Oreochromis niloticus: one gene and its partner. The protein of the gene in region 1 binds, or shares a complex with, the protein of each later gene. Links are inferred from orthologs where the notes say so. Each region holds a gene or a part of one and is shown on either strand. Other genes may lie near its edges.

Region 1 (6,837 bases):
TTTCTGTGGATATTTCTTTTCTTTTGACAAGGAGTTTTTCCACACTTAAAAAGACACATTATGGCTGGAAATATCATTTTAAGTTATAAACGCATAAGCGCATAAGTTGAAAAGTAAAGAAGCTGCTTGCACCCCTTTTCTGTAACACATACCCGAATGAGGTAATAGTCTCTCTTGAAACCAACACATATCGAGTTTTCACACCAAGCCATTGACTTTGGAATATCTGGTGCAGCAAAGTCCCCCTGACAGACGAAACGAAAACATTAAAGTGGCTAAATGTGTCAAAGCACTGGAAAATACTGTTAAACTTGAATCACACTATAGTGAGTCACATGTCCAGTATACATTACCTGCAGCTCATGAAACTCTCTGTCCTTCCAGTAATACAGCTGGAGTTTCTTTTTCACTGCAACACACATTCTCAGCTGTTCCTCCCCTGAGCTGGTTTGCTGAGGACAAAATATACACTTCGTGAGAGGAAATGTGAGGCTAAATGTGTGTCCAGCACAGATGAACAAACAAGACAAAATATTGCAGCTACTGTATAAAAAAAACTAAGAAAATGTTCAGGGTTTTTACATATTTAGCACAATTAAATACAAATTGTGTTCATGTCACTTCTCCATATGTATGATACTTTACTGTTTTCAAGACACCCACTGTTGTCTTAAATCAGATGACACACGCAGACTTGAACTAAGAAATCACATTGCTTTTTTTCTGTTGTTAAGTGTTGAAAGAGAAATTGAAATTTAAAATGTCATGTTAGTAAGCAGCACCATGGTAAACCTCAGATTTACTTCCCGTATTGATGCCATCAGATGAAAGGCAATGAAATCCAGAGGATTATAATTACCTTGGTCCTCGATTTGCTTCTGTAAAGTTTGTGAGTTGTGTGAAAAAACATTCAAAAGGCTACTAAAAACAGTGAGAAGTAGGATGAATGGTCGAGGCATGTTTAGTTTGATTTTGTTTTGCTTGTAAGCCATTATACTCTAATTTCCCCAGCCACAAATAACTCCAGACTTAGAATTTAGTTCACTTTTGTCTTAAACGGTTCACAAACTTGCAGCTGTATGTCTATCAGTATACACAACTATTCAGGTGAAAACTGTTTTCACTTTCATTTGTAATGGGAAGCAATGTGTGCATGAATATGACTGCAGTAACAATACCACTACTAGAAGGAGAACTGGATACCGGACTAAAAGAAACCACCAGCTCACATCAACAAAAAACGTGTTTGACTGCAAGACCAAAAAAGGTTAAAGACTAGCTTCCAAGTCTTTATTCTGCTTTAGCCCCCTACATTTCCCTAGGAGGTTGCTGCTCTGTTGTCCACATAGTTAAGACATCATGGGAAAAACCTCAAATGTTTTTTTTTTTTTTTTTTTTTAAAGAGAAGAACCTAATCCTGTTTGAAGCTGGAAGTCCTGTCTGCCTCTGTTCTAGAATTATAGTCCAGTTTTTTTTTTAAATGCAATACCACAAGTCACCACTGGGGAAAATTGACAGCTTATAGGTCTTATCTTCCCTCTCTTACCACATGCTGAGTTGCAGAAAACAGGGGTCTATTACTGACCTGCAAGTCACATGCAAAGAGTGTGGCTCCTTTGGCTTTGGATACCACAGTGATCTGCTGGAAGGTCAGGAGGTCATGGACATGGATGTTGTTCTCTGTGGGGATATTTAAATCGGTTTGTTTAGTTGTCATGATAATCAAGAACTGATATTAGTTTGAAGCCTTTACAAGCCCAAGGTTCCCCCAATTTTTGCTTTACATGACATTTTAACTCTGTAAAAATATATTGCTGAGAGAAACTTACCCAGGAGACTGACAAGAATTTTGTACTGTGAGACAACATAAAGCTGGAGAAAAAAAACACAGTTAAAGAGATAAACACACATAAGCTGGTCAACAAACAGAGGCAAACAATTTTAATTAAGATCTAAATTTGCGGTTAAGCGACTAAAAAAGTCAGATACCTGCTGAATCTTCTTTGAGAAGTTCTTGTTGGATTTTTCCAGTGTGACCTCAAACCGGTTGCCTCCTAAGATAAAAAAAGAAATGTGTTCATCAGAATTACTTAAACTGGTATTTGAAGCGTGCAACAGAAAGGTAAACCGGTCTCCAAATGGATAAGGAACCACATCCCCTTTGGTCCCCATACCTGCATCCTTCTTTATTCGGTACAGAAGGAGATGGCCTGGTTTTGTTCCTACAAGCAGCCAGTCCTCTGTAAGGAAGTCGGTACAAAAGATGCGGTCAGTTAATTTCAGACATAACATTTTCACATAAGTCTGAGATGTTACCTGCGTTCAGTGGTGAAAAAACTCATGACTTCTTGACAACTTAAGACTGCAGTTCGATAAACAGGGGTACTATTTCAGTGTCACAAAATTAAAGAGTAACCGTGGGACCAAAGTGTTAACAACTCACCCCAGGCCGCAAGGCAGTCAATTTGAAGAGGAAGCTTTTCCAGAATAGGTACAGGCTCATATGCGTCGTGCATCTTGAAGCAATGCTGCTAATTCAATCTCACACACCCCTCTGATATATCAATCCCACACGGGGCTGACGCCTAATCGCTGATAAATCTGTCAGGGGGTACAGCTTTACATGTCGCCATAAACTAACACAGTTCAGTTTTGCTTTTTCGGAATAGCCAATACGGAGAACTGATTTGGTAATGCAATGCAGTTTGGCTTGTTAGCCACCTTCCTCCCTGACCAAAACAACAGCTGATCGTTAGCCTTTAAGCTAAGAAGTGAGCAACTATCGGTTCCCTCTCACTGCAACTGAAATCTGAGCGAAGACTGTAAGTTAACGACCAGCGCAACTGCAATTAACCTAAAACGTTTAACCACAAACGCTATATAAACCACAGCAATTAGTTTTCGTTAGCCATGTAGCTTCCTGCTACTTCCTTAGTTGTTTTGAACACGGCTGCGCGAGCTGCTGGGGTTTGACAGGCACGTGACTGAAGTATGTGAGCTCACGAGGAACGCATTAAAGGCGCAGTGGCTTGTATTAAACGGTGAGTTGAACGGTTATTTTGCACCGAGGTTTCGTACCAAAAGAAAATCAGTATTTATGACACAAATACTTAAATATTTTATAAATTTAGATTTCCAGGATTTAAAGGACACTCCCACTTGTTTTTTAAATAAAATATTCTAGAAAAGAACGCGTTTAAATATTGTAATTGTGATATATATTTAAACATGTCTTTTAGAAAAACAAAATAATTCTAAGTTTATACAAAACTTACGTTTTAACCATCTTTCAATAGAAATTTATTTGCAGGACATACGCAAAAAGCCATACAATATTATCAGCTTCACAATACAATGCAGACTCAAATCCAGACACAGGGTTTTAGTGTCTCTCTGAAATAAAATATTGTCAACAAGATTTAGACAAATAGAAAAAAAACAAAAACAAAAAACAAACATAGTTCAGAGCTTTAAAATTATCCACATATACTGCAGTAGATCAAACAAGTATGAGGAATTATTTCAGATAAGGCTATTTTTGAGCGTAGCTGGGAAAGGGTCAGAGAAATCTGTAATAATGGTGAACTGATACTCCCCTGTGCTACTAAAGTCAACAGAGAACCTAAATAAAACTCCGGACCTGTTGGTGGAGGGCGTCGGAGAGCACATTTTATAGACACACTAAATTACATGTATATTTTTCAGCTATTCAGGTTCGTTATTCAGTGGCTAGAAAAAAGTGTTCACTTTGGTGACTGCAATATCTAGTGTTTCTAGATCTATTATATGAAATCAAAACTATAAAAAAACGTTACTTTTCATAAAAATTAAAATAAAGCAGGCTTAATTTTACTACTAATGCTTACAAACAGGATTTTCTTTTACTTTTTCTACGCTTATCAACCAATTAAATATAGTCAAATTTGAACTCGCTTAAACTGATCAGTGTGTGGATGACATCCTGAAGAAATGATCTGCATGTGTCTACAAAATGAACACGCCTCACACGGTTTTATGACAGTTAATTCTTTGCATTGATATAGCTCCATAACTATCATTAAATGTTCCCAGATCAGCAGATGTGGCTTATTTTCTGGACGACGGTGATATCCTTCAAGTATCAACATGACAGATGTTAACAGTGGCTTAACTATTTTGATATTCAAAATGACCCAGTTAGCCAGACACTACAGTAATAATGTGTTAACAATTAAACACACATATTTGTTGGTTAAGCATTAAAACATTTGCTTTTAGCTGTCTGGCTAAATGGCTAATTGTACAATAGAGTTACTTGCACATTTAAATATTAAATCGTGTGATCAAATAAATATGTAATGTAACAAAGTATCTTTTTAATATATATGGCACAGCACTGAAGATAAGCTATTGTTCATTAAGATGCTACAATGTCTTAAATATAATCCTATTATGAAACTACTTTGATCTTTTCAGTTATTCATTATCTTCCGTTTGTAGCATCATCCGATATCTTGGCTGTGATGATGGCCAGGCATCACGAGTCATACCTGACTGTGTTCCAAAAAGGACCTCACATTCCTACAACTCTGACCCGTCAGGAGTTATCTGTGCAGTCTGAAGTGGGTGGAGCTTTTGTCAAATATTTTGATCATCTATCCCTTGCACTGGATATCACATGTTTCATTAAATAATTATAATAGTCCTAAAAAAAAAAAAAAAAAAAACAGAAACAGAACATTTCTGCTTCTCCTTCATTTTGTTCAACAAATAAAATAGTTATAAATATAAATGCTATACTATATAACTGCTTCTTGTATTTTATCCCAGAATAATCCCAGAATGCCATCAGCAGCCGACCCAGTCACTTCAGGTTGCACAGTATGGCGTTAATATAAGAGTTTATTATAGTGTTACCCAAAAACCTGTGAAATAAAAGTTTTGTTAAAAAGTGTCTGAAGAAAGAACAGATATCCATCCCCCCAACATTTTTGGTAATCAGATCACTCATTGCTGCCTCAGTTGAATTCCTCTATTTTCATTCTCAGATCGTCTTCTACTCCATTTTGGACCTCTCCATCTTGGTTTTCAGGATTTCCTGGGAAAAAAAGCAAAAAACAGCAGTGTGGTTGTTAAATGATGACACAGTGAAAGGTCAGGACTTTAAATAGATTAAAGTGTGAGTAGAATCATGGGACTCGCATGTGTAAAGTAAAAAGGCTCCTTACTTCTTCCTCATCTAGCATTACAGGGAGAGCTCTGTATGGAGGGGGGAAAGAAAAAAAACAGAGAAAGAGGTCACGGATATACCACGCACATCAGGAGTAAGTCAAACACTATGAATATGGCTTGAATAACAACAATATAGTACTTTTCTATCCTGGGCTGCCCGTAAAAAACTTCCTCTTTAAAGTCATCGCCATATTTCCATCCAAATTTCATTTAGTGTAGCAGTTTTTCACCAAAATAAAGGTTTACTTACACATCAGCAACAGTAGTAGGAATGTTCTCCTCAACCCATTTTAGATCTTCATCCTGACAAAAAGCAGTTTTGAAACACAGAATTAAGTAAACATGGCAATAATGCAGAAGAGAAAATGTCAGAAGTCAGCCTACCTCTTTACTCAACATTTTCTGGGAGCCGTTAATGTCAGGTTTCGCGCCTCTCATCTTCATTCCCTCTGAAAAATCAAGAAAAGGCAGCTGAAATCATTTACTCTGACACTATTAAATGATTATAAATTTATCAATTAACGCCTATACAAACAGACTGAGAATGTGTCACTGGGTTAAACAAAAGCTCAGACAGAAGGTTGTCAGTAAAGGATGTGAGGAAAATTGTGATTATTTGGGATTATTAGAGCATACAACAGAAGATACAAACCACTTGAAAACATTTCTGTGACCTCTGTCGTTTTATATCTTTGTGTTATACTAGCTCACTGTCCTGAATTCTACACTTAAACACTGTTACTATAAGAGAAAAACCATCCTGTTAGTGGAACCTAAACAAAACTGATCAAAATTTAAAGAATCAGCTGGCATGTGATATGGCACAAGATGACAAGCCGGCAGGAGACTAGAACTACATGTTATGGCAACTAATACTGTTTTACACAACCAAGCTTATCAAAAGCTGTTTTACCTTTTCTCCCAACACACAGCACTAGAGTTAAATAAAATCAAAATTTTTCTAAGCAACTTAACTATGTAACACAAATGAGCAATCAGTGTCTTTTTCAAACACTGTTTAATATGGCAAATACTTGTCTGGGGCTTTAAATGACAAGAGGAGTGAAATGTCGTACCAAAAGCTTCGTTCAGCATGGGCTCCTTTGCTTCGTCCTCTTCATCATCATCATCAATCAGAGGGGAATGGGAGAACCTGAAAGGAAACACCACATAGGTTGAAATCTTTATGAATCGTGTTAACCACGAGCTTACACAAAGGTACTTTGGCCCAAACTCCATACTGACGCTGACCTCTGATTGTTGGCTGAGGGCCGCAGCAGCACCATGATGACCAGAAGAATAGTGGAGAAGAGCAGGCGCCAGAACGCATCATCTACCCACAAGTCCCTCCAACCCTGCAGAAAGGACAAGGACAGATTTCAGAGGAAAAGCAGTGAAATCCAGTACAAGATAAATATAACTCAGCCAAAAGAGAAAACAAACTGACCCTCTGACAGTCGACCAACTTGAAGACCTTGGTGGTCCAGATGATAAATATGATAGAAGCTGTGGACACAAAATAAACACCAAGGATTTTGATGACTGCAAACAAAATACACGTGTTTCGCAGAAACTACAGCACACAAACAACAAACTGACCTGAAGGTAATTCTAGCCACAGCATTG
Region 2 (7,700 bases), on another chromosome or scaffold:
TTTAAAGTATACCAAATTATATGTGACTCCAAAACCGCATTACTTTCTTATCAACAGGGGGAAAAAGCAACAAATGAAGATGTTTCAGAAACAGAAATAGTGTAAAATTAAAACTGAACAAAAAGATGTTACATAGTTACTATGTAACGACATAAACAAAGGTAGAAAGTCCATTTGAAAAGCAGCTGTTCTAGTTTGATTAGTTCAGCAAAAATTTGCTGATCAGACTTTTTAAATGTAAGAATTTTATCCTTTTGTTTGCTATACACAGATTGTGAGACATTTCAAATGTTCAACATGTGCATGTATTCAAAAAGCTAGAGGTCACCACAGCAGGTAGCTCCTTTTTACGCCGGATGCTCTTCCTGTCACAACCCCAAAGAGGTTTGTGTCTCCTCCTGGGATCAAACTGGGTCTCTTTCACTTATTAGGTGAACGTGTAATATACCCCACTGTGGGACCACTCAGTATTTCCTTGCAATTAATGATTATTTTAATATTAAAGGAAATAATTTAGAGATATTAGAGATAAACTGATAATGAAAATGATCATTAGTGGCAGCCATATGTCCCAAAACAAACTTTTCTCTCACAAAACCAGCCTTATGAAGTGAGACTGAAATTAAATAATGAAATATTCTGTAATCTTCTGAAGCTCCTTTGTTTTTTTTAAAGTTGCATTGTGGAAGAAAAGTGCAAAAGAACCACACAGTCTGCTGAATCTTTAACAACTATGGTTAATTTTGTACATATATAAATATTTAACCTCCTGAGACCCAAGCTCTTGTTTGGGATGCATTTTTAATTTCTCCTAGTTATTTGGGATTAGTCGAACCAGAAAAGTATAAAATCTAAATATTATGTTTGAACAATGGGCACACACTACTTAACAAATTATAAAACAGTTTATTGAGCAGCATTACGAAGAATATTCAAGAGGTTAAAACATGTTTAGAGTAAGTATTAGGTGTGGAATTAAAGCACAGTTCAATAGCTTCAAATGATCTCCAACATACTGGAGACATATGTAGGGTGATTTCAACCTGGGACAGGCTGCAGCACACCAGCCTGCTCTGAAAAACGCACGACAGAATGAGGTTTATAATCTACCCGAAAGACAAAATTCTCTTTCATGCTTTCTTTGTCCTTAAACATTAATGTAACGTCAAACCATCAGCTCGCTCTGTCAGTTAACATGACTTTCCGAGGTGACAAATGTTCTCCGTTCTCTGAGAAATCACACACAACAGCTTCATTTGCTGCTATGACTGACCTAAAAGGCACGTAAATACTTTAATTATCTGATTTTTTTGGGACCTGAAATGACCTGTGTAATGCAAACAGACACATACGCTGAGATTAATAACACCTGATATCAGCAATTATTCATTTGCTTTAAGATTAAAATAAGGTTTCTTTAACATTTTGTAAATCATTTTATTTTCCACCTTAAATGAAACATATGTCTACATAGAAATAATGTATCAACACTTTTTGAAGCAATCATTATATATTTTATGAATATGTGGATGCGCTGTGATGACCGAGCATACGGAGATGTGTAATGTGGTTTGTTAGGTGATGATTTGTCTCCCCCTTAGGGTTATTAACCAAACTGTTCTTCTGTCTATGCTTCCACTTCATGCCTTTGTGCATCTAAATCTCAACAAGTGCTGTTAATAGTGTTAAATTACTCTTGGAAAAATGCAGCCAATTTGTATTATTTTATCTGCAGCTGATCTAACAGACTGTTATTGGGACTCGTGGGGTCAGGGGTGTAAATATCCGAGACTTGAGATGATTTTTCTTTTCACGCTCGTTAATATGATCAACAGTTATCCCTCTCTCCTCCACTAAAGCTAAAACGCTCCCCAGCGGACGGTCGGCGGGTCAGTGAAGGCTGAGGGCTATCAAAGCAGTGTATTAAAAGGAGCTCTTTGAAGCTTGTAAACCACGGTGCCCAGCAGGTCCACAACAGATAGACGCCTCTGATTGGTCAGGTGTGTGTGTGTGTGTGTGTGTTTTCTGCTGGATCGATCCACCGAGCTGACATTCTGGAGCATCAAAGCTTTCGGTGCACTAATCTGACTCCTCCTATGAGGGCGAGGGTTGTTTTTATTATTTTCCTTTTTTGTCCATGAGGTGCTTAAACTTTAGACGGGGCTCTTGCATGTTTATGATGGGAGAGCGGGCAAAGCATATGTTTTGGAGGTTTGAAAGGGAATGAAAACAAATCAAGCTTGGATACTGTATTTATCGAGCGATAAATAATGCAAAACTATAGAGAGAGAGATGGAGAGAGAAGCAGAGAATCACAGGGCCATCCGTTGGGCGTACCACTGGCAGCAGCAGAGGAGCGACACCGCAGAGATTCACACACTGCTGCTCCTCAAAGTCAGTTTCCCCTCACACTGTCTCTGGAGACCTGCGCCACATACACACTCATGAAAGGTGTGAAAATCTGATTTCCCAAAAAGGATCGGTAATTCTCTGTGAGGGTGGAAGCCGCAATCAATAAATCATTGCTAAGCAGATTGTAAAGAAAAAAAAAATTATTCCCCCTTGGTATCAGTGCATTAGGATTCTCCTGAGGATGGATGAGGCAAGACAGGGGTGTGAGACAATCTCAATAAAGAAGAGGCAAATCATACCTTTGGCATTCATCTGGACTCAGGCAAGCAGCTGTCAGCAGAGTGACGGAGGACCAGGCGAGTCGACCAATATCCGAAGCCACCATGTTCAGAGAAGTCTGCAAATATATAAAACAAATAGCCTAATTATTACTGGAAGTCTTGCTGACTGTGTTTGCTTTATTAGTGAATGCACAGGGATTTCCTTTATTAAGGCAGGCATAGGAGACAACCTCAGAAAAGTACTGTACTTTTAATTTTATATTAATCTACCACAGATTTTACCTCAAAAAGGGGCACAATAAATACTTTTAGCTGCTATTTCTCATCATAATAATGCACAATCTGGATGCCATTACTGCTTATTACCAAGTGGACAAAGTATTCATATTCTTTACCATCAAGAGTAAAGATGCATCCAAATACATATTTAGCTTCTTTCCTACAGCTGTAACACTGCTAAACACCATGTGACAGTAATTATGTACAACCCTCATGTGCAATATTCCACTACCCAATTCCACATCCCATAACTCGGGACATACCTCACTGTGTACATTTTATAATATGTAAAATAACTCATGTAAAGTGCACTTTTTTTTACTGCTCAGCTTCACACAATTACAACCCTCAGGCATATACATTACACAGACAGATGCACAGCCTGTAAATAAATAACTCATGTTCAGTCCAACCGTGCAATATTAAGTCCCAATACTTTTTACTCTTTAATGCTTGTCAGTAAATATTGTATTTTATATTTATATTATGTCAGTACATTTATTTTATCTAAGGTTTTTTCACCATCTGAGCAAGTATTACCTGATTTCATTATGTTTGCTTAATGATAATAAAGTGTCTTGAATCTTCAATACAGTCTTGGCAGTAAAATTTAAAGTATCAAAAATATAATTTAATATTCTTCTGAAACCAGGGGACTCAAACAATAGCTGAAGGGTTAATTTAGCCACCACGTTCAGAAAAATCTGCACATATTTAAATCGAATAGTCTTAATCATTTCAGTTAGTGATAGCTCCAAATGTACTGGAAAGAGGATTGTCTGTCCCGTTTTATTCAAATTGTCTCAATTAAGACAAAGAGAGATTGTGAATGAATTTAAAGTCCTGTAAGTTATCATTTTGAGATTATAGATTCAATTAGTGCTCAATTATTTGAAGAAAATTTTGTGTATTTTACCTCACATTCTACTGTATATCTGGCTAGTGGCAGTAAATAATCAATATAAAAGGGGACAATGTGTACAGTAAATACTGTTGCCTAATAATTCTTGTAATAATACTCATGATTACTTCAGAGCCATTACTTTTGTAAAAACTACTTAATTATAAGTAATAGTATTGATGGACTTTAAGCAAAAGTAGCATGTTTATGCTGTTTGGAACCGTTTTGAACTATTTTTAATATTTACTATAAATGATATAAATTTCTCCTCTAGGGAAAAACTACAGTATTTGCCACTGATATGTTACAGACAATTAATATAAAATACAACAAATTAAAATACTCAGCTGTATACAAGGGGGTGGATTTAGTTGGCTCCTTTTAGCCACTTATTTGAATACCTTTTAATGACAGCAGAAATCAGCCTTTTTATCATCCCCTTGGGGACAGTTTGGAGGACTTTTAGTCCAGGTTAATTTATTGTATCTGGCGACCGTTCAAATTTTTAAGGTTGGTCTATTAATGTTGTCAGTGAAGATGTGCTTTATGGTTATACCTAGCTTTACTGCGGGTTATTTGGCTGCAGTTTCAAGACTGTTAGCTTCAACTGAAAAAAAGACATTTTCTTCACAAGTTTTCCGTCTGACACTTAAGAAAAGAGACACTTGGATTGTTAAAACCGAGTAAAACTTGCTACAAGTATTTGCCACGAAAACCACGAAAAACACATTATAAACTGTCACCTGGCATCGTTTTTCAAGTAATCGTCTCCTTTTATTCTGTCTGAGCATCCGCGTTGTCGTTTCTCTATCTGAATGACTTCATTACCCATAACGCCTTGATACTCGAATTGAAGTCATGTGATTTAGCTCATGACTGGAAGCAGGTTTCGACAACAAATATCACTTTGCTGTCACGCAAAATCGGGTGTTTCTGAGATGAAACAAACCTTTATCGGAGATTTAACGGATATTTTTTAAAATATTTGTTAAAGTATTATAGCTGTTACCTTTGGATATATCGCTAAATAATATCACAATGGCGGAAGTGGAGGAGCAGGTAAGCTCAAATGCTAACGCTAGCTAGCTAAATGTTTCTGTTTTAAACGCACTTGCATCAAAAATGCATTCAAAGTGTGGCTGTGAGAGCTGTCAGCTGTGGTTTCATTTGATTTAGCTTCTCATCAAGCCATTCTCTAGCTTGGAAAGCTAACATTTTAGGTGCTAATTTAGCTTTGCAGTTGTTTGGTATGTATTTAATGTCTAAATAAATAGCCATGGCCTTTGAAACCATGCTTTAACATTAATATATTTTTAAAAGCAACCCAACATTTTTCTGCTTTTAGGTCAGTCATCCAAGTGAGGAAACCACAGATGAGTCTGAGGTAAGAATCAAAAATACCTCATCATTTTAGATCATCTAAGATGAATTTATATTAAGAAATTTTGATATATATTTAGAAAATAATAACAGGAAAAAATGGACTTGAATGTGTCATGCAGTTGCACCAGTATGTCAGTGTAGACATGCATCACCAATAATATACTGTCAGTGACAGAAGTGTTCATATTTCCGTCAGGTTTGGATGCTTTTTGAAATCTCTGCCTACTGAAGGGGCTGTAATACATAACATAGCCTTTATCAGCACAGCTTGATCCCTAAAGGATCTTTGTCAGGTTCTGAGAGGTGTCAAACACTCATGAATTACATATAGCTTTCCAGATCCATCAATATTATGACTGAACTCTGGCATGTTACAGTACACCTGTGCTTCGGAGGATCTCACATGGGCTGAATAAAATATAACATTACACATCACGCTGACAGGAAGGAGAATTTTTCTTCATAGGTAGCAGAGGATGGAATCATATATAAGATATATGCTGCATTTTGGACACCTGCACCTTTCTCAAGCTACTTTTTTTTTTCTCAAGAAAATAAACCAGACTTGTAAATAGTGGTCTGTCTGTGCACCATGTGTTCAGTAGTCATGGACAAACACTCACTGGACTGTGGGATTGCAAGTCTCCTCTGAGTGGCTGCTGCAAACAGGTGATTATTTGCTTACAATATTGCAATATACTGTAGCTGGCTGCTGTTGTTACCAGCTTGACAGCAGCCTCGCTAGATGAAGGCAGCGAGGGGCTGTTTGCTCTACACTCTACTAACAGAAGAGATGAGCAGGGTAACAATTTGTCTGAGCAGTGGCTCTGGAAAGTCACAGGCATTCTCTTCATCAACGTCATGATTTGGTTAGATTAGTCTGATTTGTAATAACATAATACAATAATAAGCCTGATTTGTAAGTGCTTTTTAGTATGCTCAGCGGATCAAACCCTTAAAACGATAGATTTAAGCGACATATTAGTCGACTGATTGCACCAATTTCCCCCTCTTTCTGCCTCAAACAAACTAACATGGTTAGATTTAACAGCTACAGCGTTCCCCTTAAAAGCAGACAAATGGGCGAGTCTTGCTTGAACCTTGAACATTAAGCTAGATGATGACACGAGGAGTCTCATTTAGCTCAGCTGTCAGTAGATGGAGAATATGGCAAAAATGGTTACAAATCAAAAGAAACCCCAGCAGCTGACAAACGAAAGGGTGAGTTCCATAAAAGCCTGTCAAAAAATGTACTTTTGTGGTCCCGAAAAGCACATAAAAGGTAGAGAATGAAGGGTAATAAATGGAAGAAAAGACATCATGCATTGTATTTTTAGCAACTTGCTGGACCACTATAAGGCTCTAAGTGCTCTACATGATTCTGCCACTCCTTTAGAAGCAAATGAAATGGTTTAATGCATATTTTAGCTTAGCTTAGTTTAGTTTTATTCAGTCATCACATATTGCACAGACAGTGTAAACAGCACACAATAAATCAGGATCTCTGCACCATGTAGTGACTGAACAGAATCAGGCAGAAGCAACGCATCTGTAAGCCTAGACTGCGGTCTTTTAATTCCAGAATTAATGGGAACAACATAATCGTTCACACTCTCAAGTGTCAATAATTTATGATGTCTTTGTGCTACTGTTTGGAAAAGAAAAAGCAAATTAATTAAATTCATTTTAGCAATTTTCTATAATTTAACCTCAACACTAGAAGTTCACTTTGAGTACCAAAATCTAAAAGCTAATTTGTTAAACAGCATTATGGACACACTTTAATTTTATGGACTAAGGACCAAGCTGATGTCAGCTGGGAAAACAGTTTAAGCAAAGTTTTTATAGCATGTTATATGCTGGTTTCATAAACGTAGGTCTTTGAACATGACCCATGCAAATCAGGAGTTTGGTGTGAGTGCCACCACCATGCGTGCTAGGATTGAAATTCATAAATGCAATTAAGTTAAATATAGCTGTTGATAACAGCATCAAGACAGCCACTGTTAATATACTGCAGGTTGCAAGACCGACAGGAAATGATGGTGTATGAATTTGACAAGTCTATTACTGAATTTGGGATCCTGGGAAGTATAAAGCTGCCACTAATGCTATGATCAGGATAAAGGTATGATCTCCAGTTATTTGAAAACAAGAACAGTCCTGCAAAAAAATGGACAAAGCAAAGTTAGAAAACATTGGTTTCAGAGCTGTAAAGAAATGGCTTTAATTCAAACCAAGTGGACTGAAACAAGCAAATATAATGATGGGAAAAAAAATGATTACCAGACTCCTGATTTTGTTGCAAGCACTGAAACATACAAGGTTTCCTTAACTAGGGTATATGATAATGTTAACTTTGTGTATTTTATCCTGTACATGCCCAGGTGTGACATGTATAGCTCAGTAGTTTGTGTCTAAATGCTACGTTTCTGAATGCCATAATCCATCAGAGATCATATTTTTAATTGTAAATTGATAGTTGATATATGGCAGTTGTAAAA

Evidence for each region. The genes of interacting proteins can lie anywhere in the genome.
Region 2: vps39 (region 1) and vps41 share a complex: the UniProt entries of both Homo sapiens proteins name them as parts of the homotypic fusion and vacuole protein sorting (HOPS) complex. The link is inferred for Oreochromis niloticus from reciprocal best matches to the Homo sapiens genes VPS39 and VPS41.

Annotation. Positions count from the first base shown.
Region 1 is NC_031983.2:21,376,317-21,383,153, reverse strand, and holds the start of vps39 (vam6/Vps39-like protein), read right to left. Parts: upstream 3,010-6,837; 5' UTR 2,517-3,009; coding exon 2,444-2,516; intron 2,241-2,443; coding exon 2,175-2,240; intron 2,055-2,174; coding exon 1,990-2,054; intron 1,873-1,989; coding exon 1,830-1,872; intron 1,681-1,829; coding exon 1,586-1,680; intron 453-1,585; coding exon 354-452; intron 246-353; coding exon 153-245; intron 1-152. Other genes in the region: transmembrane protein 87A, read right to left, coding at 5,036-5,077, 5,208-5,238, 5,462-5,514, 5,596-5,660, 6,288-6,364, 6,463-6,566, 6,659-6,717. UniProt on the Homo sapiens protein: Regulator of TGF-beta/activin signaling, inhibiting SMAD3- and activating SMAD2-dependent transcription.
Region 2 is NC_031974.2:15,254,967-15,262,666, forward strand, and holds the start of vps41 (vacuolar protein sorting-associated protein 41 homolog), read left to right. Parts: upstream 1-4,680; 5' UTR 4,681-4,851; coding exon 4,852-4,872; intron 4,873-5,158; coding exon 5,159-5,197; intron 5,198-7,700. Other genes in the region: pou6f2 (POU domain, class 6, transcription factor 2), read right to left, coding at 2,652-2,749, 4,557-4,604. UniProt on the Homo sapiens protein: Plays a role in vesicle-mediated protein trafficking to lysosomal compartments including the endocytic membrane transport and autophagic pathways. Acts as a component of the HOPS endosomal tethering complex.